Linked DNA regions of Xenopus tropicalis. The protein of the gene in region 3 interacts with the protein of the main gene of each other region in a biochemical or structural test. Links are inferred from orthologs where the notes say so. Each region holds a gene or a part of one and is shown on either strand. Other genes may lie near its edges.

Region 1 (2,920 bases), on a different chromosome or scaffold from region 3:
GTTTAACATTCCAGTATTCAATGACAACAGCAGTCTGCAAACCCATACATAGACTAGGTCCTCAAAACTAAATAATAAAAATGTTGTAGGACACTTACATATTCATCATATGTTTCAGGTGCAGGAGGTGGAAGAGAGATTCTCTGGATAGCAGCACCACGGGCTCTTCCAGCGGGTGCACCTCGGCTAGCAGAGGAAGGGGGTACAGGGCGGCTCACACTAGCACCACGCGATATGGCTCCACGTCCGGGGGCACCTCTTGGAACAAGAGGGCGAAGAGGCCCAGCCCTGCCTCTGTTAATATAAATTTGTACATAGTCTCATCCAAAACCCTGAACATCTTGCATACAAAAGTTTACCTTAAAGGGGGAAAAAGGGCTGACAGGGGGGAGTGACACCAAAAAGTAACAAACTTGCAAAGCTTCTGCTGTAACCCTTAGCAAATGTAAGTCAGAATATCACAACTGGCAATGCTTGAAAAGCTAGGGTTATACAGTACTGAAGAATGCTAAAAGGAAAGGTGAGAGTTCGGTTGGAGGCTGACCCAGGTTAAACAATTTTTAGTTTTGTTTGACAGTTTGATTCCTGCAAGGAGTAACATAGCAGCTAGCTGCCTTAGAGATTACCTAGAAGAAGGAGCTGCAGCAGGTGGTGGACCCCCTCTGCCCCTGGATGGTCCACCTCTTGTTCCACCTCTGCTTTGCTCTGGTGGTGCTCCATTAAGATAAGATAGCTCCATAAACTGTTCCTGACAGATATCATCCATCATGTCCTGGTATGAAAAAGACTCAGGTGTCAGCTAAAAGAATAAGAAAACTGTTTACTCAGGACTTTGCTGCTGAGTAGTTTTGAAGATTAACAAAAAAAAAAAAAGTTAGTTAGTGTTCTACCTGCTATGCAATATTCTAATTACAGCCATCAACACCTAACCACACATCCATTGACATCAGTTTACTTCTTTACATTTATAACATAAAAATGAAAAATGAGCCAACAACTTTACTATCACTATATGGTTACAATAAGCTAATTTAAAAGGTCCAGCGGAAGACAAACTTTTCAGAAGTCAAAAAAGTGTGGACTTTTCTCCTAAATCTATAATAATTTCAGTGCTTGTTTAAACAGCAGCAAAAAAACTACACACATTTTGCTTTTGGCCAATTCCTAAAAGTTTACAGTAAAGTTATAGAAAAAATCCTTTGACTTTATTCAGTACTTACTTAACTAATACTTGATTAGGATATTTTTACAGCAAATTACATTACAAAAAAAAATTGATTACACATACCGGAACCAAGAACTTCTTGACTTCTTCCATTGCATGTGCCATACGTGTATAAGATTCACATGGTGGTCCAAAGACCTCTATGAACACATGAAGGTCCATATTCAGATGGCTGTATTTGGGGTCCCCTCCTTTCCGCAGCTCTTCTTCCTGAAATCAATGACATGATTATTACTATGGGTTTTCCTTTTACACATTACACTATTGGTCTGTGAGGCTACAATTTTATTGTTACTTTTTACAACTTTTCTATTCATGCTCTTTCCTATCCATATATTAGTCCCTCATTCAAATTACTCCCTGGCTGCCAAGATAATTTGGACCCCAGCAAACAAATAGCTGATAAAAGCCACTGAAAATTTACTGAAAAAAATAAAAAAAACAAAACAGGAGAGCAGCTGAACGTGAACTAAAAAAAAAAAAATTATATATATATAAAATGAAAACCAACTGCAAATTGCTTTGTATCACCCCAAAATTTTGTGTATGTGCCAGAATGAGGGACCAGATGCCCATGCACTAGCTACACAATTAGATGGTTAGGAGGGAGGGGAAAAGTGAGAGCTGAATTGAAAGTTTAAGTACTTGTCTGCCCCGCCTCTATGCTTAAGGCATAAAGGCGGGGCAGGAAATATTTGATTGATAGCTTTTTTAATGCCTTTATAATGGGTTTGAATGTGTTAATATAGAAATGAATTTGGGTTTCATGTTTAATTTGAAAAGTACAGGTCCACTTTAACAGGAAAAATAAATAATTTAGCCCTTACCTTTGCCTTATCTCTCATTGATCCCTTGCCAAGAACAGAGATTTTTGCTCCAGTCTCCTCCTGTAACCTTTTGATGGTGTTTCCCTGTGGTCCAAGGATCTTTCCAACAAAGTTAAACTACAAAATTGGGTAAAAATGATGATTACAAAAGGCTTCTTTACACTTCCCAAGTTACACACTTCACTTACATATAAGTTATTTATTAACTCGCAATCATAATAATTTGCTTTTTAAATCACATATGGGGTGAGTGAAGAATCTTAAAAGCAACAAAGACAAGTTACAGCTAAAGCGACGGTCCCCAGATTTTTTTTATCCTTGAGCCACAATTCCAATCTAAAAACTTGTTATAGATCAACACAAGTATTCAAAAAGAACCTGGGGTACCAAATATGGACTGTGATTGGCCATTTGCAGTCCCTATGTGGACTGGTAGGAAGCTATGTAAGATGACCTAAGTTGGCTATACATGCTCAAGTAGCGTAACCCAATTTTGACTACTCTGCCCAAACCATCTGCTTGGAAGGTTTGTTTCAGGTTGATTTTAGCACATCGGCACATAAAGGCATTTAGCGAAGCTGCAAAAAAGCAACAAAACAGAGCCATCCCTGTGTAGGGTCGACACGCCATCAGACCACTGAAGATCAACCATTGCATAACAATCTTTAAGCCAGTTGCTGCAAAAAGACTTATTGCAAAGTTTCCCTACAGTTTCCTCAATGGCTTTACATGTAATTAGTTCAAAGGTGCCATGTGGTAGAATGTAGCCCAACAGTGTTATCAGACTGGAGTGACTGGTTGATTTGTTCAGGTCAGGAATCTTTAATGTATGTTGCGGCAACCTTCTCATGTAAGCTTTACAATTGTT
Region 2 (4,241 bases), on a different chromosome or scaffold from region 3:
TGTACTGCCTTAAAAAGACCAGTGCATTAACCATGGAATCAAATTCTTACCAAAAATCTCTTTCCGGTAATGCCTTGCTTTTTGACCAACTTTTCACAATCACGAAGGTTGTGCTTTTAAAAGGAAACAAACATAAAGGCATTTAAAAAAAAAACACACACACAAATTAATTACATTTTCATTACATAGACATAGAGTAACCAACTCATTAAGAACTTAAGAACTGATTATACCTGATAATGACACAAATAACGGTTTATAACAATGTATGGGTATTCATATGATATACTGTATTCTATAAAATGGCTTTCTGCTGACTTCATATAGATTTTATGGTGTTGAGGTAATAATACCAAAGCAAATTAGGAAAGCATAGATTTAAATATAATTATCTCATTCACAAAAAATCCTTAAATCTCTCCTGTTTATACATGACACATTAATATTAAGGAGTAAATGATGGATGCATAGAGAGACTTTTATATATACAGCAGAACCCCCATTTTACATTTTTCAGGGGACCAAAAAAATAGTATAAAATCAGGAAAATGCTTTATGCACTATATAATGGTCGAACCACAAAAAAAGGGTATAAATAAGGAAAAACTTTAAATCAGGGTATGTAAAATTGAGTTTTTACTGTAGTAGTAAGTTTGCTAAAAAATATTTTATAATTTACTGATCTACAGGAGAAAAAAGTAAATGATTTGACAAAGCATTGATAGCATTTGAGATATTGCTTGTAGACTAGCATTGATGCTACATTAGTATTATTCTTTGGTCTATATAGTCAATGCAAATGTTGTTTGCGTGTGGGTATGTGTGTGCATTAAGATACCCACTATGGAACCACATTAACCACTGACCACAGGTGTTGAATATGTAGTGGACAACACTGCCAAGCTACAAGATATCTATTTCATTGCTGTTAATGGCAATGTGTTACTGAATATGTTATTCCATAGGCTGCTAGCAAAACAAGTAGAAATGGGACCTGTTATCCAGAATGAATGTCACCTGGGGGTTATTAGATAAGGGATCTTTCCGTAATTTGGAATTCCATACCTTAAGTCTATTAAAAAAAACATTTAAACATTAAATAAACTCAATAGGATTGTTTTGCCTCCTATAAGGCGTAATTATTTCTTAGCTGGGATGAAGTACAAGGTACTGTTTTATTATTACAGAAAGAAGGAAATATGTTTTAAAATGGGCCTTCCCATAATACTGAGTTTTTTGGATAACGGGTTTCTGGATAATGGATCCCATACCTCTAAAATAATGTAACATTTTTTAATGACTTGTGCATGAGACTACATTAATTTAAAGCCCAGTAACAACACAATTTTAAAAGAGTTGTGTCTGCATTTAAATATAGTGACCTGCCACCCTTCACTTGCCAATTTGCACATTTCATTCCAGGGTTCTAACTGAGTTTATATAAAGAAACTACTTTGCCAGCTGATATTCAGGCTTCAGTTGTGCTGTAGGCCCCCCATTTAGAATCCAACTGTTTTAAACATTAAGTAAAAAATAACAGGGAACGGGGGTAATTTATAGCTCACTACATGCAAAACCTCTCTCATGTAAAACAGAGACACATTCAACATTTGACGTTGTTGCCAAACCATTATAAGGCCTTTAAAGCATTTTGTCAAACATAAGCGAAGGTAAGAAACAGCAGGGAAATAAAAGGTGGAAGTACAGCCAGTAAAGGACATAGGGGACACAAAACATTAGTGAGCAGCAGTAAAAAGGCTACAGTATTCCAAAAAGTTCCAAATTTGAGCTCAGAGAGGTGCAGCATTACTTTTATTTTGCATGGCACAAGTCTAGCCTGAATGCTAACACATGGCAAGGGTTAAACTGGCTCATTCAGATGGAGCAAACATTGTGGCATCACAGAGCTTATATGGCACAAATGGTACAATATGGTTCATGCCACAATGTGTGAAACATCTAGATAAAATGAGCTGTGTCTGTATTTCAGCAGACAAATTGCATATGGGGTAAGAAGGACTATAGCTAGGCAGAGACAAAAAGTCCAATAAACAATTCTGTCAATAAGAGGCTAGAAGCCAAGAACAAAATAAATGGGTCCCTTCTATCAAGGTCTCACAATATTTAGGAGAGTTGGAAACTGAAAACACAACTTAGTTCTGAAAAGGAAACTACTGAAAAAAGTATTTATTACTGAAAATAAATATGTTTATTTTATGTACAAATCTTAGAATGCAAGTGGTAGAAATATACTAAAAAATATATACTTTTTCTTTTCTTAGATAATAACAGCTACAAAATGCGTATCATTAAACATTCCTGCTTGCATTCTAAGGTTCTAAAAACAGGTTCTAAATACTGTGTTGTTACTGGCATTAAACAGAGTCTCACCACCTCCTGTTGACTTCTATAGGAACCACTTGATACCGCTACTGCAGAAAGTTCTTAGCTCTTATGAGCTGTGTGTGTGTGTGTAAAATGTATAACAGCAGAATACATACAGTATATATATAGTTTTATATAACAGTACTTACAGCTCTAAAATATTCAATGAGAGCTTCAGGGCTCCAACAGCTGACTTCGGAACATGAAGGGATGCTTCGGAAATCCATGTTTTTTCTCTTCTTTCTTTTTTTTTACAGAACAGGTTGTTTCATATTAGTCAGTTGCCTTCACAGTATCCCTTTGGCCAAGCCAAGAAGTTTAAAGATGTTGTCTATTCCTGTGAAATTTGTAGTCAGTGCCTGCTTTAGTTAAACAATACAGACACAATACACAATGCAGCTTTTGCCATTCAGTTACACTGAATCATCTTTTGAAAATGCAACTTCCCCTTGGTGTGAACGTTCGCTTCTCAGAAAAAGGCAACTGACTTCCTGTACCACTTCCTCAAATGAGACTCGTTTATGGTGTTAAGCTGTAGCTACATTAAAAAAAATAAACAAAACAATTATTAATCATACTCCTTCCCTTACAGCACTATTAATAGGGAATTTATGGCGCATACTTTATTTAATGGCACACAATTCTCTATTAATTGTTTGTTAACTTTGGAACTGTATTCCTAAATACTAGGCATGAAATTACAATTCAGATTATATTGAAAAAATGCAATTTATTGGGAATTGTGTACGAAATAATATAGTTATTGAGGTAACAAAAAGGCATAATCCATGTCTGTGAGTTGCATCTGAGAATAAAGGTTTAGAGGGGTGTTAGAGCTCAGTGCTACTTCCTAGCTCTAATACCCCACACAGTAGAATGGTGTTAGACAGCTCCGAGGTGCATAACATATCCTGCAGAATAGACACCACATCTTGAAAATGTGATCAAATCCAGCAGGATTCCCTCGTCTGAATTTTAGCAAAGAGGCCACATCCATTTATTTAATAAAATAGAAGTAAGGGGTCTTTGCAAATTGCTCCCCTGGTAGTTACGCCACTAGTGACTGTGTTAATCAGCACTGTATTGGTGAGGGGTGGGAGGCATGTGGGTGTCCCCCCACTTGTCCCCCACAACCCTCTAATTTGTACATCATTCAAACTTGCAAAGTAAAGAGCGGCTTAAGGTGGCCATACACGGACCGATTTTTTACTTACAAACGACCGATTCGCGAACGATCCGATGCTATCGTTAAGTTATCGTATAGTTGGTGGTGTACGAACGATCGTCGGCCCACTAAACGAGCCGACATTATCGTCCCCAAAATCGATCGGCCAGGTTTAAAAATTTTGGTCGTTTAACGATAAAATCTGCCAGTTGGTGTGAGTGTCAGACATTTGTCTTTCAACGATTGTTCTCTGCGCATGTCACGATTGCCAGCAACGACATCGATCGTACGTAGATGTACGATCGTAGGTATTTTACGATAATGATGCGACAAAATCTTTCCCGAATTATCGTTGCCCGTGGATGGCATATCGTATGGGAACTCGATCGCCATACGATCGTTTGTCGATATAATCGTTCATCGCACAACGAGCGAAATCGCCTCGTGTATGGCCACCTTTAGGGCTGGCCTGTGCCCCATGGCGTAAGGCATTGACTACAAGGTTCTAGAACTTCACAGGAATAACCAACATCAATTTTTTGGCTCTACAAAAAGGATACTTCAATGGGGGAATGTAAAAAAGACCTAAATGGAAAAAAATGCATACAAATATGAATAACAATTCACATATTGCAATGTAATATTGATCATTAGACTGTTACTGCATTGCAAATTTGAATTGCACATTGCT
Region 3 (4,265 bases):
GCTATTATACCCCCACTGCTACTATAGGCACCATCTCTCCCTACTATACCTGCTATCCCACAGCCCCAGTCCCTTCCCAGAGGCTGTGGAATGCCCTTCCTAGTGATGTGGTAATGGCAGACTCTGTTAATGCCTTTAAGAGGGGCCTGGATGAGTTTTTGAACAAGCAGAATATCCAAGGCTATTGTGATACTAATATCTACAGTTAGTATTACTGGTTGTATATATATAGTTTATGTATGTGAGTGTATAGATTGGTTAGTATAGGTTGTGTGCTGGGTTTACTCGGATGGGTTGAACTTGATGGACAATGGTCTTTTTTCAACCCTATGTAACTATGTAATTATCCCACTGCTACTATAGGCACCATCTCTCCCTACTATACCTGCTATCCCACAGCCACAGTCCCTTCCCAGAGGATATTATCCCACTGCTACTATAGGCACCATCTCTCCCTACTATACCTGCTATCCCACAGCCACAGTCCCTTCCCAGAGGCTATTATCCCCACTGCTACTATAGGCACCATCTCCCACTACTATACCTGCTATCCCACAGCCACAGTCCCTTCCCAGAGGCTATTATCCCACTGCTACTATAGGCACCATCTCTCCCTACTATACCTGCTATCCCACAGCCACAGTCCCTTCCCAGAGGCTATTATTCCCCCACTGCTACTATAGGCTCACTACTATACCTGCTATCCCTTCCCAGTAAGTACCACACCTAATACACCAACATTTGCTGAAGACTAAAGCCCTTAATACCATACCAATACCAGCATCATTTCACCCTATGTTACCTGTTATAGCGTACCACAGGCTATTGCTAATAGAGCTGCTAGTTGCAGAGAAAGCAGGCTGTGAGCATGCGCATATGGGGAGGCTTCCCGGCCGTCCCACCCCTCTGCAGACCCTACCATATGCCAGCGCTTAGGGGGGCGACCCCTGTTTTCAGCTTTTGTGCCCCAAGCTACGCGCAAAACCCCGAAAATCACACTGAAACATGTTAATTATGAAATATCATTTGCATAATCTACGCATGCGCATCTCCCTCTGTTCATGACGTCAGTAAATTTCTCAAGTAAGAAAAGGAATACAAATCGATGCCCTCCAGCGGGACGTGAGATGACAAGTCACAAATACTGTCGTACAGACTGTCCAGGTTGGAACTCTCAGATTCTTAGCCTTGCCTTATTTTTCCTGAAATGAAACTAAAAGCGCCGAAGCGGAGCAGCATATTAGGGTAACAATGACCTAACGCCGGCAGTACGGCACAAGCGTTACCCTTGCGCCTGCGCAATGGGTATATTCGCCGTCAGTACATTTTTTTTCTTTGTAGTGGGCGTGGCCGCAGGGTGGAAGTATGACGACGCTTGGTTTGTGGCAAGGAAAAGAGCAGCGTTGCTTGTACGCGGGCGTGGCTAGGAGTGGTGGGCGGAGCTAGGTGGTTTCTGATGCCTGGCCGGAGAGGTAGAAGCTCTAGGCGGTTGGAATCTCTGTGAGGTCCGTGTTGGTGAGGTGTGTGCTGGGGCACATGGTGCCAGGCTCCGGGGCGCGCTTTCTCTACCCAGCTCCGCTGCCTGTCTCAGGTGAGCTTCCTTGGCTTGTCAGGGCGTTCTGAGAGGAAGTTACGGTGGGTTGTATGTCGGGGTGGGAGGGGGTCGTGGGAAAGGGAGAGGCCTGCTGGGGAGCTGAGTATCATTCCCATGACTGGCTGTGGAGACCTGGAATGTCATATTCGATTGTCTCCAAGCTGCTACGTTGTGCAGCTTCCCAGCATCCTCAGCTAGGGCACTATTGCAAGATAACCCTGCTTAGCTTATCATTTGTATTTCAGGGCTCTTGCTGAACCACAGCACCCACATTTCTCACTTCCTTAGGTGATGCTTAGAGTATAAGGAGTGGGATACACCTTAATCCCCCATAGCCTATCATAACCTTTTCTGAAAATACATTCTGACTGTTCTTTTCATTGATAAACAAAACAAAAAACTCCATATTTTCTTAGTCTAAGCAACTCCCTCTCTTTAACCCTTTGTTGCAACTGTTTTGGGGATACTTATAAACAGATGCCCAAGCTACAGAGGGTACAACTGTGCTCTCATAATCTTATTATCTACCTTACAAGAACCAGGAAGTTAGAATCATGGAGTCGCTTCAGTTGCTCTGTTTGCCCAATTTAGTTAAAGCAATAACAAACACCATCGATATGTTTTAATTAAAACAATAGACAAAAAGTATGTTTGGCACAAACCCTCTTTATTGCACTCATGTTAGGCAAGGAGTATACTCCTTTAAGTAGCTGCAGGCTTGCATGTTGGGAATCCCAGTTATGAAGAATAAACATGCATATTCTCTACTGCATTAACTATGTTTTATTATACAGATGCCTCACACTGTTTTCCTTATAGGCCTAGCCATTGATTCCCTACTAAATATTAATTAATGAAACTCGTTAGGCTGTGAACTGAAGCAGCACCAAGTGGAGTTGCATGGGGCTACTGCAGCTTAGTCAAATGTTTTCACTTTAGTTGTTGGCGTTTTAGTGATTGTGGTATGAACCCTGCATCCATGTGCATGACTGTGGGAACCCCAGCCTGGGTCTCTGAAACCCATTCATCCTCCTCATTTGTTAGGGATCCACAGAAGAACAACAGCAAGGCAGCTACAAGCTAAATATCTTGTTCTGCACACTGGCCCTTGTGGGGCTATGGCTTGTAGTAGATAGATACTAGATGAGTTGCCATGCTATGAAAGCTGTTAGGGCAATGGTACATGGGGCACTGGTGAGTAGAATTGGAAATCATGTGTTCTGCATAGCACTCCCAGTGGTCTATGAGCCATTGATCTTACATGACATTTATACCTATAACTTCTTACAGTTTTATTACAAAAGAATATCTTAATTGAAAATGGATTTTTACTTTCCTTACTTAGGAATCTGGACCAGCTCCTTTTCTCCTTCTGTGTTGCCCAGTCATTTAAGGCAGTTCATTCAGCAGACATGGGTCAATCTACATCCATGCATTGGTGCTGACTCAAATAGATCCACATGCCTCCTTTTCTCTGGCCAAGTGGCTTAGAAGGGGAGGGATCATAGGCTCATTTACTGGACAGACCAGTGGCTGTTTAGTCACTTAAGTCATTAAATGTCTCTTAATTGAAAGAGCAGTTTTCCACGGGGAGCCATTTTTTCATCGGATGCACCAGTCTTTGTGGTTGCATGAAGCAGGAAGCACTGTTGCAGTGCAACTGAATTACACAGCAGAAAGCAGCTTGTAAAGGAAGTTTGTGTGAGTGTGCGAGGAGGGGTGTTGTTTCGGTTGACTTTAAATCATGTATAATTTGAACGTGGAAATTGGCAAATTTCTTTTGAACACACTTGTGTTTTTAGCTAAAATATTCCTCAACCAGGAAGGCTAAAAACAAATGGTCAAAATTAATAAACATACAGTCGTAGCCATTACGGTATATTTTCATGAGTCAAAAGATATTGTAAGAGACAGTGAAAACAAGGCCAGACAGTAACGGTTGTGGGTGTATGAGTAGAAAGGAAGGAAAGTAATGGTCAGTATGACAACAAGAGAATGAGTGACTGTGACAGGATGTATATACAAGCTCATACTGACCCCATAGATAATACAGCAAACTATGGATCAGAGTGGCTTGATTCTATTCATTCTTCATAGTTTGGGCTGAACTACACAACGGTCAACAAAGCACATAATCCAAATAGTTCCACTTGTCCATAAATAATGCTACTGATAGTAAAAGTAGAGTCTGTTAACTACGTTAAAGTTGTCATCTGACACAATCCGGCTGTCAAAAGCTTCCAACCTATAGCAGCTAGTCTAATAGTCTAGTCCAGTGCTGTCCAACTGGCGGCCCGCGGGCCGCATGCGGCCCGCGGCCCCCCTCTGTGTGGCCCCCCACCTGTCTGGCTGCTTTGATGGCTTACCTTTGTGTAAGCTTTAAATGGTATCAGAACTGTAATTAACTGCCCCCCCCCCCTGCATGGTTCTCACCTCAGATTCAGGCTGTAATCAGGCTGTATTGTTTAAATATGTAATCCCCTGTACTGTTCACACCTTTTAATCTCTGCATTGTTCACCCCCTGCAGTGTTCACACCTCAGGCTCAGGCTGTAATCACACCCATTGTTCACTTCTTCACACCTCAGGAGCAGTAGAAACCCACAAATAATCCCTGCATACTACAAAAAGAACATATACTGAGGTGGTACTGCAATTAAAAAGTTTTTTAA
Region 4 (4,140 bases), on a different chromosome or scaffold from region 3:
AGCCTCTGGGAAGGGACTGTGGCTGTGGGATAGCAGGTATAGTAGGGAAAGATGGTGCCTATAGTAGCAGTGGGATAATAGCCTCTGGGAAGAGACTGTGGCTGTGGGATAGCAGGTATAGTAGGGAGAGATTGTGCCTATAGTAACAGTGGGATAATAGCCTCTGGGAAGGGTCTGTGGCTGTTGTACAGCAGGTATAGTAGGGAGAGATGGTACCTATAGTAGCAGTGGGATAATAGCCTCTGGGAAGGGACTGTGGCTGTGGCTGTGGGATAGCAGGTATAGTAGGGAGAGATGGTGCCTGTAGTAGCAGTGGGATAATAGCCTCTGGCAAGGGACTGTGGCTGTGGGGTAGCGGGTATAGTAGGGAGAGATGGTGCCTTTAGTAGCAGTGGGATAATAGCCTCTGGGAAGGGACTGTGGCTGTGGGATAGCGGGTATAGTAGGGAGAGATGGTGCCTATAGTAGCAGTGGGATAATAGCCTCTGGGAAGGGACTGTGGCTGTGGGATAGCAGGTATAGTAGGGAGAGATGGTGCCTATAGTACCAGTGGGATAATAGCCTCTGGGAAGGGACTGTGGCTGTGGGATAATAGGTATAGTAGGGAGAGATGGTGCCTGTAGTAGCAGTGGGATAATAGCCTCTGGGAAGGGACTGTGGCTGTGGGATAGCAGGTATAGTAGGGGGAGATGGTGCCTATAGTAGCAGTGGGGGGATAATAGCCTCTGGGAAGGGACTGTGGCTGTGGGATAGCAGGTATAGTAGGTAGAGATGGTGCCTATAGTAGCAGTGGGATAATAGCCTCTGGGAAGGGACTGTGGCTGTGGGATAGCAGGTATAGTAGGGGGAGATGGTGCCTATAGTAGCAGTGGGGGGATAATAGCCTCTGGGAAGGGACTGTGGCTGTGGGATAGCAGGTATAGTAGGGAGAGATGGTGCCTATAGTAGCAGTGGGGGGCTAATAGCCTCTGGGAAGGGACTGTGGCTGTGGGATAGCAGGTATAGTAGGGAGAGTTTGTGCCTATAGTAGCAGTGGGGGATAATAGCCTCTGGGAAGGGACTGTGGCTGTGGGATAGCAGGTATAGTAGGGAGAGATGGTGCCTATAGTAGCAGTGGGGGATAATAGCCTCTGGGAAGGGACTGTGGCTGTGGGATAGCAGGTATAGTAGGGAGAGATGGTGCCTATAGTAGCAGTGGGGGATAATAGCCTCTGGGAAGGGACTGTGGCTGTGGGATAGCAGGTATAGTAGGTAGAGATGGTGCCTATAGTAGCAGTGGGATAATAGCCTCTGGGAAGGGACTGTGGCTGTGGGATAGCAGGTATAGTAGGGGGAGATGGTGCCTATAGTAGCAGTGGGGGGATAATAGCCTCTGGGAAGGGACTGTGGCTGTGGGATAGCAGATATAGTAGGTAGAGATGGTGCCTATAGTAGCAGTGGGGGGATAATAGCCTCTGGGAAGGGACTGTGGCTGTGGGATAGCAGGTATAGTAGGGAGAGTTTGTGCCTATAGTAGCAGTGGGGGATAATAGCCTCGGGGAAGGGACTGTGGCTGTGGGATAGCAGGTATAGTAGGGAGAGATGGTGCCTATATTAGCAGTAGGGATAATAGCCTCTGGGAAGGGACTGTGGCTGTGGGATAGCAGGTATAGTAGGGAGAGATGGTGCCTATAGTAGCAGTGGGGGATAATAGCCTCTGGGAAGGGACTGTGGCTGTGGGATAGCAGGTATAGTAGGGAGAGATGGTGCCTATAGTAGCAGTGGGGATAATAGCCTCTGGGAAGGGACTGTGGCTGTGGGATAGCAGGTATAGTAGGGAGAGATGGTGCCTATAGTAGCAGTGGGATAATAGCCTCTGGGAAGGGACTGTGGCTGTGGGATAGCAGGTATAGTAGGAGAGTGTGATGGTACCTTCAACTGTTGGGATTTAACAAGAAACCCAGCAATCTCTGAGATACAAAAGATGTTGAGTTCCATGAGCTGAATATCACAACTGAAGGAGTACAGGGTGAGACCTGCCCTGTGTGCCTTTAAGATGGCCATTAATAAATCAATGCTGCACTTTGCGCTGATTTTCCAGCAGGTACACTATGACAAAAGGAGCTGTGCCTTTAAGACACACCTTTCTGAAACTCCTTTCCACAAAGCTAAGGAAGAATGAACAAATTGCGAAAACAATCGAGTGAAAAGGAAGAAGGGAAGAAGTGGAAGGAACAGGTTCCGCCGCTGGCCGCCACACGTTCCGAGGCCACAGATGGGGGGGGGGGGGGGGGGGTACCGCATAGAAACGAGGAGCTGCACTTGCCCAGCAACAAACTCGCACAATGAAAGTTTTCCCTCACTCCCACCTGGGCATCACTGGCATCACTGCAGCTTCAGATGTAACGAAACCTGCTGCCTGATTTCTTACCACAAATTCGGTGCCAATAGGTCTAGTGCCAATGCCCGCCAGTGCCCACCCCCTCCCCTAGGACTATGCTTAGCGGCTACACGCCAGGCTCAGGCTGCAGGTGTCGGTGTGGGCAGGTGTGACACTTACCATTCTGGCTTGTCACTGGCTCCATAGTCACAAGGCAGCAGATCAGCACCAGGGCAGTCCATCCTCCCGGCAAGATCCCCATGCTTGGCAGTTGTGGGTCCCGCTGGGTGTCAGTCAGTGAGCTGGCACATGGCCCGGGCAGGGAGGAATAAGCCAATAACAATATCCTGGGTGCGATAGGGCTCGGACGGCAGAACGCAGGGTTAGCAGCCGGGACTCTCACTCTCTGACAGCGCTTTTCTCTCACACATTCCTCGCACAAGAGAAAGTTGTATTAGGCCCCTCCCACCCGCGCTCTGATTGGCCCAGAGCCGGTAAATGGGTTGCGATCAGACCTGTGAATCAGTGACAGTGCAACTTACTGCGCTTCTGCTGTTTTTAAACTACAAGTCCCAGAATTCCCACAGCCTTGCATAGTTGAAGGGCAATAGTTCGAACATCCTTTTTCCAAACCTCTAATTCAGTGGGTCCCAAACTGTGGGTCTGGCTTCACTAGGGGACGTAGAAGAATGGCTGCGGGACCAAGCCTAAAGCCAAGTTAGAGTGAAATTGGGCGAAATGCCTATTAACTCTTCTAGATACCCCTGAAAGCACACGCTGAGGCTCATGTAGGGTTAAGTCTTAGGCAAACGCTTTCTATGCTACATATTCACGTCCTGTCAGTTAATCGCTGTATATTCTTGTCAGTGAATTCCTCAAAGGTTATTTTAGGTTACCTTGCTACGAATTAAGGGGAGTCTGGCCAAATGTTGGACCCTTAAGTGGGTGCAACCCATAAAACTACCAAAACACTTTGTTTAGTTTAATTAACTAATTAATTAATACAAATTACTAAATCTAATACTAAATCTCAATGACTGGACACTGAAAAGTCTGCCATGTCTCTAAAACGGTCTTAGTTAACTCAGTAACTCCGTTTGGGCTGGTTTTCCAGCAGATACCTAGAGACAGGTTGTCTCACGCCATTGCTCTGTGCCTTTAAGACACACCTTTCGAAACTTTTCCACAATGCTAAGAAAGAATGAACAAATTGCGTAAACAATCGCATCAAAAGAAACAAGTGTAAGGAACAGGTTCCACCGCTGCCCACAACATGTTCAAAGGCTACAGATCAGCGGGGACGCCTAGCGGCAGGTCCGGGATTAGCGCAGGGAAAGCTGAACCCGCTCTTCGTCATTGAAGAGTCCCTGACATGACACACGATCTTTTCTCACATATGCTTTTTTTATAGTTTTAATCAAATATGTTCACAGACTAGGTAGAAACTAATTTTGTGACAGTTTTGGTTTCCAGGTGTATGTGTAGAATAGAAATGGCACATGAATATATCATGACTGTGAGATTAAAGTTCTGATTCCCCCCAACCCAAAATTTCATACATTTTTTCAGCAACTGCACCACAAAGCAAAGTGGAATTCACAAGTCTTAGGGTGAAGACACACTGAGTTACTAGTAGAAGCTACTTTTTCACATTACTGAACACCAGAAAATACCTTGCTATAGACAATACTGAGAATTGCCTCTGCTAAAACACACGTAGAGACAATTATCAGTAGATGATAAGCACTGTCTATTTTAGTAGCTAGGACATATAGTTGCTA
Region 5 (4,263 bases), on a different chromosome or scaffold from region 3:
TCAGTATAATATATAGGACTTCTGTTTAGTTTTAAATTTATTTTTTTTTTAAAAATCCATGTTCCTTATTTTTAATATTATAAACCTTGTTTATCTGAAGGCCAAGAATCCGCCATGTGTGGCAGAAGCTATAACTAATCTGCAGCCTTTGTTTGTATAATCTTTCTATGCAAAGATAGACTGGTAATCTGTTTTACTACCTACTCCTCTACTGAGGACTGGTAATCTATTTTACTACCTACTCCTTTACTTCCTACTCCTTACTGGACAGAACCAAGAAAGTATATATTTATAAGGTAAAATTGGCCAAGCCTTATTTCTTGAGCTTATGTTGAATAACACCGTTAAACAGTTGTAGATTAAGCCCAGTCTACCTGCGACTGTAGACAATGTTGCAACAGTGTTGTACCTGAGCCTGTAAGAACCCAGTACCATATTCCCCTACCCCTCTATTCCCACTTCAGAAGAACCTTTTCAACAGGCAAGAGTGCTACTGCATATTAGGATGTAACATGCAACTGAAGAGTTCCCAGCAAAGTAGCTGGGAAAGGCCCTCAGAGGTCTTGGGCTGGTACCATGTGTAGTTATTATGTCCAAGGGTTTGTAAGTTAAGAATCCATACTTCATGCATTAAAAACACATATGATTACCTACCTGTTACATGTGCAGCAAGTCTACTTTCTTTTTTCTCAGTTGGGTGTTTGTTCAACCCTGTAAAAAGAGCAAACATTCAATTGATTTTCCAGTATGGTCCTAACCTAAGCACAAAGTGCAAAGTGAGAGAAATGCTAGGTAGACCAAGGCCAATTGTTGTTGATGTTGCAGGAAGGCTCACAGTTATTAGATGTAGCACCAAGCATTCCAACACTGGTTAAATGAATTGCCTGCATTGGCCATAGGCAAGAAATAGAAATTAGTACTTCACAACCTCAAAGTAACCGTCAAGTGTTGCTCACCAAATGCAGCAGCTAAAGGAGAACACTTCTAGAACTTACTCCCATATAAACTCTGCTAAATAGCATATGCCACACTTTTATTTTATAGAGAAACATATTGTAACTCACCAATTAATTTTTCCAAAGCAGGAGGTAATGCCTGGTCACCAGAAATCTAGAAAGAAAAAGTTTGTGGAGATTATTTGCATTTCCAAAAATCATTATCAGCTTTATGAAATCTGCATATGAACTGCAACTATGGAAATCATTATCTACTATACTATTTATTTCCAGCTGCTAAGTTGCTTTCTTTTCTATTACTAGACAAGGGGTGAAGCTTGGGCTCAAAGGAAACAGTGATGGATATTCCAACTGCTTTAATGTCAGTGTGTCTGGGGAAAAAAGTAGTTTCATGGAGCAGGAGCTCCTCCTATTGGATACTCTCCAAAAATATGCTTTTTAATTGCAGCAAGAAACACCTTTGGTCCTGTCTTCGTCCTGTGCACCTCCAAAGCAATTGGATAGACAGAAACACAGTAGCAGGAGTAAGGTGGTGCATTGGTTTTCTTAGTTCATGGTTACTTTAATATATACCACATATAAACCAATCCACGACACAGCTAATTTTTTAGCTCTAGAACAAGCACATTTTTAAAATCCCTCAATGCACCATTTAGAAGAAGTGGAGTTAAAGTTTTTTAAATTCTGTACATAGGTACAGGTATCAGACCCCTTATCCAGAAACCCATTATCCAGAAAGTTCTGAATTAAGGAAAGGCCATTTCCCATAGACTCCATTTTAATCAAATAATTCACATTTTTAAAAATTATTTTTTTTCTCTGTAATAATAAAACAGTACCTTGTACTTGATCCCAACTAACATATAATTAATCCTTATTGGAGCCAAAACAATCCTAGTGGGTTTAACTACAGTTTAATTTTTTTTTTGTTAGCAAATTTAAGGTAGGAGATCCGAATTACGGAAAGACCCCTTATCCGGAAAACCCCAGGTCCCAAGCATTCTGGATAATGGGTCCCATGCCTGTACTTGCCCAGGGATTTGTTAATTATATAAAAAAAAGTAATCACAGTTTTCCTATTCTCATGAATTAATGGAATTCTATAGACCACTAAACTATTATAGTGATATTATTGAAAAATATCTTATTGTAAAACCAAGCTGCATTATTATTTCTATGACAAATTTAAGGGTACCATCATTTTTAAATGGTGATGTGGAGAGAACCAAAGGTTTTTCAAGTAATTTATGCCCTTCCACTGAAAGCCCTGCCATGAAGTACAGCAGATAACCATGACACTGGGACAGCGGAGTCAATCAGCTTTCTGTGCATACAGAGGAACCACCAGAAATTTGTCTGCATTGGATCACTGTTTAAGGGCCACCAATGAGCAACCCTAGCTTGGTCAGAAATATCATTATAAAGCTTTTCTATGCTGCCAGATAAAACACTGGCAAGTTACTTAGGTTGGTTAGGTTAAAATAAAGAAAAAATCTAAAATTAATATGTTATGTACCTCCTTAACGTTGTCCAGTTCCTTTTGCAACTCGATGATTTTATAGGTGCCAAGACCAACACCAAAAAGTGCTAGCAAAATCAGAAGGAACATGATCAGCAAGTAAGTACAAGTGCCATCTTTACGTCGTTTTCTCCTGAAGTCCGGGAATGGGGGTGGTAGAGGCATATTGACTTGGTTTGGTGGCAATGGTGGCAATGGTGGGGTTCTACATGGATCCGTCCAAAAAACTGAAGGCTGTGCGTATCTCATATCTTGCTGCATAATGGGATTTGTCAATCTGAAATCAACGTAATGTGCTGCTGATGTCTTTGTATTGTGCTGTAGTTTTAGCTGCTGAAGGAAAAAACTGTGGTTGTTTCATGTGTAAGTACATTTATAGATTCTAGCTGCTAATTCACACCACCCTCTTCCACCCCCTTTCTTCCTCTCTTCATAGTTCAAAAGTGGAACAGAGTGTGATTCAAAATGCTACAGCATTCTCTTACTTGGTCATTCAGAGAGTGTATGGACTAGCAAAGCATAGGGATCAGGGTGCTTTTAATAAATCATAGTATTTTTAAAAAATATAGTAAAGGTTTTAAAAAGGAATGTTGGGGTTGACATTGCACAAAGGGTCACGGTTAACTGTTTCTATAAGCCGAGGACCTCTGCAAGTAGTTTCTATATGCCAAGCACCGGTCTACTCTCAGCCCACTGTGCAACCAAAGTGATATTTTACAGTGAATATAAAACAAACCACCATGTTCTCAGGACAAATCTCTTTCTGAAGTGGGTGTGATTTTGCTACTCAATAAGTTAATATGTATATAACTGTATATGACTTGGTAATAATAACAGGTGCATTCTGGGCAATTCTGCTGCCTAAGGGGGCAGAGCCCAGCTGTCAAGTGTTAGCCCAATGCCTAACCACAAATAACTCCCCATTGCCACTGTGGAGGGCCTGGTAGGTACATATGTTGGACGGAAGGTAGCCATTCCTGACTGGAGGTTTGCCTCTTGCTACTGCTGGAGATTATAATGCTTTTCAGTAGTTAGAAGCATTGTCAGTCTGTTTGAAAGAGGCATTGGATCTTAAAGTTACAAGTGTTCCATGGTAGCTATTAGCTGTTCCTTGCTGTTTACCTAGCCTGATGGCCAAAGCATCCCTGAGTCATGCTGGTGTCTCAGTAGGTTTTGTATAGCCCAATGCTCAATCTATTTATACCAAAGGTATACAAGAGGGGCTGCTGTAGTCTTTAGTTATCCGCTATGAAAATGGACCTTATGTGGCTTCCTTCATAGCTACAACTTGTCCCTTCTAGAGAATGACAATAAAAAGTACAGTTAAAAGCCAGTTGTGTCTGAAAAAAAAAAATACATTACAGTCACAGCATATATGATATGATGAAAATGGTCACTTACTCAGCTAAGCAGAGGCAAAGCAAGACAATGCTCAGTCCATAGTCATGGCACTTAAAGGACTCCTCTAAAATTACTCCTTTATATGACAGTTACCATCTTATTTCATTCTTCCAGGGATCCCTAGGTTGACAGTTGACATGCATAATACAGTAAAGTCAGAAAAATCCCGGTACTGAGCCTGCACCAACCCAGGGTAGCACCAGGTATCCCTGGGAGCATAACAAACTATGGCCCATAAAGGTCAAAGGGCCCTAATAAAGCAAACCAAAATAAAAAGTACAGTAGGTTTTAGCACAGTGGTTTATATTTATGAAAGATCTACTAAAGCTCATTAAACAACAGTTAACAATATAATACCAAAAACATAATAAGGGGGCAAGAAAGAAA
Region 6 (4,011 bases), about 89 Mb from region 3:
AAGGGGAGCTTCCATTATCGGCCCTCCACCATATATGACGGAAAAATTCCAGCCCTTGGTACCACAGAAGTTGGACAGCACTGCATTAGTTGATACATTTCTCAGCAGTATCTGTGCAATGTTAGCAACTCTTAACTCAGAAATTATGCTCCGCAGGGCCAAATGTAAGAAATGTAATAACTAATGTATGAAATTAGAGTAGTGTATAGTGACCTCTTCCCAGAGGATTTTTAGAGAGATGAGAAGATGAAAAATTACACTTTGAACTTCAATATTAGAAAACCGGTCAAAAATAAAAAAAAATGGCAACTGAAAAGTTTTTATATCTGGTGTACTATCTGAAAACAAATAAACTGAAAAAAGTAGATACACTGTTTACTGGTCAAAAAGGACTTTTAGGGCAAAAAAACAAAAAAAAGTAAAAAGAAATTGATGTGTGTATCAAGGTAGGTTTAAAAGAAAGATTACTAAAGCAGTCTTCTTAGGCCCCTAACAAATAAATACATTTATTTACTAATGTTTTGGGGTCCTAAATTTAATTTACTGTGGGGCCCAGTAACATGTAGTTACACTACTGGGTTGGTGTCTCCTCTCATGGGGCTATACACTTAGAGCCATCCTTAAAGCATAGCAAAAAACGAGAGCTACATAGTGCCTATATATTAGATTTATAATTTAAAAAAAAATGCACCCAGTCTCTGCCCGCAGATTTCCTTAGGAAATCTGGTGATAGAGCTGGGGGCAGGTTTAGAGGTACAGGGTCAGGACACTGCGGAACTGATATCACGCGCAAGCTGCATGTGGGTGGAGGATGGGGCAGTGGAGGAGCTCAGACTGGGGTTGGGTGGCCCCCTGAGGTGGCAGCCCCAGTGAGCCCCAGACACATCAGTCTGACACTGTACACAGTTTTAAAAACTAACAAGATGCTTTACAAGGAACAAATATCAGAACTATCCCTGCAAATTAGGGGTTTGTGGTAAGTAAACTTGACATAAATTGAAAAATCAAGAGAATGAAGCAAAAAATGTATAAGGTTTCCCCAATACTGCAGGTTTATATGAAAATACATTGAATGTATTGAGCAGCATATTTGTATGCAGTACGCTGATCAAAGGTATAGTACCATAATAATAAAGCTATTTGAAAAAAAAAAAAGTGGTGCGCTTGTGGCTAAATCAGGCGTAGGCGGAGTTAAGGTCGGTGGTCACATGACGGCGGCAGGCAGCCCTTCTGTCGCCCCCTAGATTGCGCGCAGTCGCAATACAAGTCTGTTCCAACGGCCGCTGAGCGCTGCTGTCTGGCGAGAGTGTGGGGGGAATAAACTAACAACAAAAATAATAACAAAGTGACGCATCAAGAGTCCTCTTGCGCCATCATTACCACAGGCTGGGTCGAGCTGCTAAGGGAAAGAGAAGTCGGCCGTAAACAAGGAGGGGCGGCGAAGGAGCAGACAACAGGGAGGGGAACCGGGGTGTCTTTTTTTATCCAGTGACGCCCGTCCAGACCCCCGTTTTCTGGATGCTCAAGGAGAACGCTGCGCCACTGGAGCTTCCCAGTCTGCCTTTGTTATTAGCAGAGAGACGGGGCGGCGCGCTGGCAGCTCCTGTGTGGGCCCGGGAGGGCAGAGCAGCCCCTGAATCGCACCTCCATCCGCGGCCTCCTAGCTCACCCCGGAATTAAGAGAGGTCGGGACTAGGAGTAAGCAAGTGCGTGCCTCCGGCCTAGTCCCACCCATCTCCTATGTATACACACAGCTGTCATATATGTACAGGCAGCTGTCAAGTGCAAGCGGTGTCCATGAGCCGCCCCCCTCCTTCTCTTTCTCCCAAAGGGGAAATGTGCGCCCTATGCTGCCCCGTTTAAGGGGCAACTTCTTCAACTTCCCCACCCTTATGGATCATTTGTTGCCTTAAAGCCGGCATCTGCTCATTTGGAAGGCGGTGGAGTTTATCTGGCGGGGCGGGGGAGCATAAGTGGCACCCCCACTTGAAGGACCCAGTCTCCTTACCTGGCAGGCGCCTTTCTCCCCCACCTGGCATTGTGAGGATTAGGATAATCCGCCCCCAGCTCTACAAATGCCGAGGGAAGCCGTCATGCAGGCCCCACAGTTTCAGTACGACTTCTTCAGTGAGGAGAACTCCCCCAAATGGAAGGGTCTGCTGGTTGGTGCCCTGAAAAAGGTAAGAGGGGTTACAACATGGATGTTCAACCTGTGACAAACCAGTCTATTTCTGCAACACCCAGAGGCCACAGGCTGTTTTGTTACATGGAACCTTAAAAAACTCTGCCTATAAACTTTCCAATATAATTCAGCTACACATTTTCAATGGTTTTAATGTTATTTGTAAATGTAATTGCTATTGAAAAGTAAAACTCTGCTTGACCTTTTGTATACCAAGGCCTGTCTTTTTAAACAATGTAGCAGAAGGCAGCTAATTAACAGACCTCCAAATAATCATGCTTCTGCTACATAGTATCAAGAGATGGTACAAAAATACAGTTTTCAGTTGCAATTGCATGCACAAATACATTTAAAACCAATCATTTCATTTTAATGAATTGCATGTTGGTAAGTTTCTTAAAATTTTCATTCATTAGATAGCATTGTATTTGTGGGTTTTAAGTCCCCTTTTACATAAAAGTCAAATGACTACAGCTGTCCCCTGTCACTGGCCTTATTCACACTCCACACTAATTAAATGGATATGTATAATGGAACTTAGCTGGTCCAACTAGTCAGAAATGAAATCTCGGTCCTCTTTATGGCTGTGATATTTAGATGTCTGTTAAAACCAAGGCCAGATCTGATTTTAAGTACTGCAAGGGGCAAAAGTAGGTGTCAACTATGATCCTTTCCCACAGGTTCAAGGGTTTGTTCACTTTTTTTTCAGCACAGACATTTTCAGATGCAACAAGGCTTTTTTTTTTTTTTCAATTGCCTTCTATTTATTATTTCTAATGTATATTTTTCTAAAATTGAAGTTTAAACTTTAATGGTACTGTCTCTTGTGTTTGGCAGCTCAGCAATCCAGGTGCAGACCCTGAACTGTTACATTTTGCTACATTAGTTGATACATTTATCAGCAGCAGCTGTGGAATGTTAGCTGCTTTTAATAAAACTCCAGCATTATACTCAGCAGAGTCCAAGATAAGAAATGTAGTAACTGACATATCAAATTAGAACAGGTTACAGTGTCTGTGACTCCACCCTCTCCCAGAGCTGTTTTAAAGCAATATTAGAATACCAATCACAAATACAAATTAAAAAGCAATTGAATAAAATTATTGCTGGTGTCTGGAAGGTGAACAATGCCATAACGGTCACATTACTGTACATCTTATGAAAAACTTGTATAAAAAAAAATATACACCTAATTTTTATGTTGCTAGTGTAATACTCATTACAATAAAAGGTCTGCACATGCATGCAACCCAGACCAACAGAAAGTGATCCTTGGGAAAGTTTGGCAAAATGGCATTGCAATGCTCACTGGAATAGTACCTGGGCTGCCACGTTTTTCAGCCAAGAAGAGTTCTGGCTCAGGGTCTGAGGATATCAGTTAGAATCACTGGGGAGTGTACCCCTCAATGTTTAAATTTTAGACCTCCTCTAAGTGTTTTGAAAATGAAAAATTGAGTGAGTCATGTCAGACAGGTTTAGTAAAGGGAAACTTAGTAAATTATTATTTTTTTATGAATTTATATTTTTTTTTTCTCTGCAATGTAAACATATGTCTATTTTCTAAAATCACAGGTCCAAGCCCAACAACCAAATGTATATACATGTATTTGCTAGGTTCTTATTGTCATATTTAATCAGTCTTTTATTTCTGTTCAGCCATTCTTCTGTTTGTCTTCTATTCTGTCATTTAGGCCAATTCTTGACTTTTATGGATTTGGATCAATGATTCTAGCAATCTGGTGACAGACTAGTTTTAGCAGTTGAAATGACAGACTAGAGAGCTCCTGAACAAAAAATGTGAAATAGTAAAGAAAAAAAATTCAGATATT
Region 7 (4,007 bases), on a different chromosome or scaffold from region 3:
ACAATGCAATAAGCTATGTAACAACAATTTGTTTTATATACATAATATTTGAATCCTCTCAAATAACACTTCACAAGCAAATTTAGAGATGCATAATGACTGCACCTGGCACAGGCAACCCCTGGCATATCTGCCTTGCACATTACAACCACATCCCACCTATTTGTTGCCTATACAGTATGCACTATGCAGAACTGGACACAGTAGACACATATTTTTGTGTTCTCTTTGCTTATAAGGCACAAATCCCAGGAAAACATGGTGAAAAGTGCAAAAAAGTTTGCATCTGTTTTTTCGCACTTTGCAACTTTCCCTGTTATTGTGCATTAAAGGAGAAGGAAAGTCATTTTGGCATTTTACTGCCAATAGATTTGCCACATTAGTGCCACCTAGAACACTATATTTATTCTGCAAAATCCATTACTAAACCTGAGTAAACAGCTTTAGAAGCTTTCTTCGTTTGCTTAAGATAGCAGCTGCCATTTTAAGTAGCTTCTTTCCTGCATCTCTAGCTCAGATCACACATTCCTAATGGAGGGGGGAGGGAGTTCTTAGCATTCTAGTGGAAGGGGGAGCAAGAGAGGGGAGCGAGGAGAGAACTGTGCAGACTCTTGCCACGGGAATTAAGGATCTTTCTGAGAGAGGAAGTCAAACACTAGAACATCATGTTTATAAAAAAGAAAATCCTGTGTTTCTTTTGATAGAGTGCAGTATTACTGTAAGTGCTTATGACTGTATTTACATAGACCTTTCTGATAAAGCTTAGTTTTTACCTTTCCTTCTCCTTTAAGTCTAATATCTTAAAGCTATCTTTTACAATTAAGATAATAAATCTGCACCAGCCATCCAAAAATGATTCATCAAAATAAATGTGATGCAGAACAAATTACAGGATAAAGTACCTGTAAAGTACCTGTAAAGTATGCCCCATTTTTCAATATGAGTTGAAGGAATAGGGCTTGTCCTGAACACACTTTTTGCATTCTGTTTTAATCATAAAAAAAAAATGTTTTTTGTAACTTCATAAGCTAAACAAGGAAACTGAAGCTGACCCATGTTTGGTCCTTGTGAAGTAGATAATCCTTCTACATAATGGACAAACAAAAAAACCATCACAACAAAGGGAGCCGGTAGGGGATGCAATACTGATAAAATAATTATCTACCTTACAAAGACCAAACATGGAGTAACTATTATTTCCCTGTTTGTCCTGTATAGCTCAGGAAATAATAAAAAACATAACATTTTTCGTAACTGAAGCAAAAGGCATTTGATATATTCAGCACAAGGCTAAAATACAGACTGGATGGCATCTAGTGTTATCCAAGTTATAAGCCATCTAGTCACTGTACCGCACATTTTGAGACTCCATTATGTACCACCAGTCCTTTCTGTGATGAATGGTGGTTATTTGCAGGCAGGGTATTAGCATATTAGCATTAATTATTTGAAGCCCTGCAAAGGAAGAGAAGAGCTGTATGCGCAGCAGAGCGCACAGTTACAGGAAGCCCAGAGGATGCTCTGTGTGTGTGCACCTGTTAGATGAGAACCACAGGAAGCAAGCTCTGAGAAAACTGCATGCACAGCATGGACAGGGTTGGTGGGGGAGAGGCACAAAAAAGGCACAGGGTTTCACTGTTAGAATGGAGGTACGAGATGAAGCCTGGCATTGTTTAGCTGACTCCAAGATACACAGATGATGGTGTTGCTGGGTCAGCAATTAAACAGCCCTCTTTATGTTTGCAAACATTATAAGATGTGAAACAATTTCCAGTAAACCAATTTACCACTTAACCTACTATCCCCCATGTGAAAATGACATTATTTAAAGAAAGGCCAAACTGGTTTTAAATAAGAGATACTGTCAATACTACATTTAAAACTATGATACATAGTATTATACAGAGCACAGAGAAGCTATCTGTGCCTCTTACTTACCTCAGTGTCCTAGAACCACTTTCCATTTGAACTTCTGCACTCCCAAAGAGGGAGTCAGTGATAGCATATGCACTACGAGACAGCAATATCAATTTGAATTAAGAATATATCCCTATACATCAAAAGGGTACCTAGTGTCATATGTTCCACTCACCAAGAAAGCAAGTGCAAGGCAAGTACAGAGCTAGAACTGCAACACTGCTGGAGGTGAAACTAGAGTTAGACATGACCTGTGTGAGCATGAGGCGCAGACTTTCAAGCATTTTGGGTGCAGTTTAGGGAAGGATTGGTGAAGGATTAAGCTGCATTCTCCCTGGTATGCGGTATACCCACCATAACAAAATATTTTTTCATTATTTTATTTTAGTTTTAATGTTTTTTCAACATGCAAGTAATACAGCATGCAATTACCCATAGAAGAATAAGACAGATTAAAATGATGAAGCAGCAATACATTACATATCCAAATTTCTGAGGCCTATCCAAATGTACATAGCAAATGGTTCAATGTAAATAGTTTGAGGTTAATTATCCAGAAAGCCATTATCCCTAAAGTTTTGATAAATACAGCATTACCATATGTACTATTCAAACAAATTCACTTTTCTTATACAGGCTAGTAGCATCCCAAATTCTTCTAGAAACCCTAGTAACATTTTACATTCCCCTTTACCTTAAAAACTTCACCGTAGCTTCCACTGCCAAGTCTCTGGATTAGCTCAAAATCATCCTGAGGATCCCTGTCCGATATATCTAAAGTTAAACGGCCCTGGACATCCATCTTGCAGGCAGCCAGGGTGCAAGTGAATGAGCACAGGAAGACTGCACAGGCTGCAGCCTTCACATTGATTGGTGTTGATAAATGTTGTAGCTTCCTGACAGGCTGAACACTTTACACTTGATGTGTGTGAGCATCCGGTCCCCTGCTCCTTTTCACACACACATAGGCTACTGCTCCTTGCCTTAGTCACATATCCTGGTGACTGCCACGCCCTGTCACAAACATTATATCGCCCCTATCCTCCAGTTCTTTTGGGAAAAGCAGCAGAAAGTACAGCTACACTAATAAATTATCCACCACTAACCAGGTCACTTCTAATAAAATCTATTTACTTCAAGGTGGTTAATATTTAGCTATAAAAGCCCGAACATACAGCTTCAGTGTTGCTATCTCCCACCCAACCATCAAGCTGGCCTCCAGCACACCAAGAAGGGCAGGAGGGGGAGAATTTGCTATTGGGCTCTCCACTCAAAAAGAAAAGTTATAAATTTTCAACTTGCCTTACCACTGAAACAGAGGTGCTTTAAGCAAGGCAAAGACCCCAGGTCCCCATCACTGTGTTAGAACTTATACAGGATCACAGCCATTACTCATCCTCTCTCCTGATTACAATGCTGACCTTTCTTGTTTCTTTTCTTAGAGAGGCGGACTGAACCAGAACTACATTATGGTGCGTGAGAGACACTGCTTTTGGTACTCTGTTACAGCTGTTATGGGTGCAAGTGCTGGAGCATTAAAGGGGACCTGTCACCCAGACATTCCAAATTAAACACTAAACCCATTTTTTTTTTTTTTTTAAATTAAAACATCAAATACCTGTTATAAAGTTATTTGAAAATCTAAGTTGTCAACCATATATTGCCTGCCCCACCTCTATACCCCAGGCATTGAGGCAGGCAGTTACTTTCACTTTCCATTCTAGATATAACTGCACTCCTCACATTCCCCCACTCTACTCATGGTCTATAATTGTGTATCGTCTGTATGTTCATGGGGATCAGTTCCCCCATTTTGGTGTATAAAAAACATTTTGGGATGATGCAAAGCTTGTCTTAATAACAGTGCCCACAAAATGACACCTGCCTGCTTTGCTGTAATTGTGAATTCCAAGACTGAAGGAAACGAGGTTTATAAAATTTAAATAGTCATAGTACAATTTATTTTGCCTGACTAAGGGGAGAAAACCTTCTGTAGCATTCAAACAATGCTTTGAACCTTGCTCAGATTAAATATCTGCCACAAGGTGTAAAAAGCAGGCGGTAATTATAGGACTCTCCCATTCCAGGGG

The links.
Region 1: the proteins of nck1 (region 3) and khdrbs1 form a complex in vitro, tested with the Homo sapiens proteins (3 studies listed by BioGRID, with this or other methods). The link is inferred for Xenopus tropicalis from reciprocal best matches to the Homo sapiens genes NCK1 and KHDRBS1.
Region 2: the proteins of nck1 (region 3) and lcp2 form a complex in vitro, tested with the Homo sapiens proteins (2 studies listed by BioGRID and IntAct, with this or other methods). The link is inferred for Xenopus tropicalis from reciprocal best matches to the Homo sapiens genes NCK1 and LCP2.
Region 4: the proteins of nck1 (region 3) and erbb3 form a complex in vitro, tested with the Homo sapiens proteins (2 studies listed by BioGRID and IntAct, with this or other methods). The link is inferred for Xenopus tropicalis from reciprocal best matches to the Homo sapiens genes NCK1 and ERBB3.
Region 5: the proteins of nck1 (region 3) and faslg form a complex in vitro, tested with the Homo sapiens proteins (2 studies listed by BioGRID and IntAct, with this or other methods). The link is inferred for Xenopus tropicalis from reciprocal best matches to the Homo sapiens genes NCK1 and FASLG.
Region 6: the proteins of nck1 (region 3) and sos1 form a complex in vitro, tested with the Homo sapiens proteins (2 studies listed by BioGRID). The link is inferred for Xenopus tropicalis from reciprocal best matches to the Homo sapiens genes NCK1 and SOS1.
Region 7: the proteins of nck1 (region 3) and map4k1 form a complex in vitro, tested with the Homo sapiens proteins (2 studies listed by BioGRID, with this or other methods). The link is inferred for Xenopus tropicalis from reciprocal best matches to the Homo sapiens genes NCK1 and MAP4K1.

What each region holds. Positions count from the first base shown.
Region 1 is NC_030678.2:86,525,397-86,528,316, reverse strand, and holds part of khdrbs1 (KH domain-containing, RNA-binding, signal transduction-associated protein 1), read right to left. Parts: intron 2,170-2,920; coding exon 2,053-2,169; intron 1,436-2,052; coding exon 1,289-1,435; intron 800-1,288; coding exon 627-799; intron 295-626; coding exon 99-294; intron 1-98. UniProt on the Homo sapiens protein: Recruited and tyrosine phosphorylated by several receptor systems, for example the T-cell, leptin and insulin receptors. Once phosphorylated, functions as an adapter protein in signal transduction cascades by binding to SH2 and SH3 domain-containing proteins.
Region 2 is NC_030679.2:32,309,771-32,314,011, reverse strand, and holds the start of lcp2 (lymphocyte cytosolic protein 2), read right to left. Parts: upstream 2,801-4,241; 5' UTR 2,613-2,800; coding exon 2,535-2,612; intron 114-2,534; coding exon 51-113; intron 1-50. UniProt on the Homo sapiens protein: Adapter protein primarily involved in signaling pathways within T-cells, as well as other immune cells such as platelets, mast cells, and natural killer (NK) cells.
Region 3 is NC_030681.2:132,192,638-132,196,902, reverse strand, and holds the start of nck1 (cytoplasmic protein NCK1), read left to right. Parts: upstream 1-1,465; 5' UTR 1,466-1,591; intron 1,592-4,265. UniProt on the Homo sapiens protein: Adapter protein which associates with tyrosine-phosphorylated growth factor receptors, such as KDR and PDGFRB, or their cellular substrates. Maintains low levels of EIF2S1 phosphorylation by promoting its dephosphorylation by PP1.
Region 4 is NC_030678.2:137,736,574-137,740,713, forward strand, and holds the start of erbb3 (receptor tyrosine-protein kinase erbB-3), read right to left. Parts: upstream 2,801-4,140; 5' UTR 2,622-2,800; coding exon 2,540-2,621; intron 1-2,539. UniProt on the Homo sapiens protein: Tyrosine-protein kinase that plays an essential role as cell surface receptor for neuregulins.
Region 5 is NC_030680.2:107,206,071-107,210,333, forward strand, and holds the start of faslg (tumor necrosis factor ligand superfamily member 6), read right to left. Parts: upstream 2,801-4,263; 5' UTR 2,737-2,800; coding exon 2,473-2,736; intron 1,111-2,472; coding exon 1,065-1,110; intron 712-1,064; coding exon 655-711; intron 1-654. UniProt on the Homo sapiens protein: Cytokine that binds to TNFRSF6/FAS, a receptor that transduces the apoptotic signal into cells. Involved in cytotoxic T-cell-mediated apoptosis, natural killer cell-mediated apoptosis and in T-cell development.
Region 6 is NC_030681.2:42,909,279-42,913,289, forward strand, and holds the start of sos1 (son of sevenless homolog 1), read left to right. Parts: upstream 1-1,211; 5' UTR 1,212-2,075; coding exon 2,076-2,180; intron 2,181-4,011.
Region 7 is NC_030684.2:80,455,411-80,459,417, forward strand, and holds the start of map4k1 (mitogen-activated protein kinase kinase kinase kinase 1), read right to left. Parts: upstream 2,801-4,007; 5' UTR 2,720-2,800; coding exon 2,612-2,719; intron 1-2,611. UniProt on the Homo sapiens protein: Serine/threonine-protein kinase, which plays a role in the response to environmental stress. Appears to act upstream of the JUN N-terminal pathway.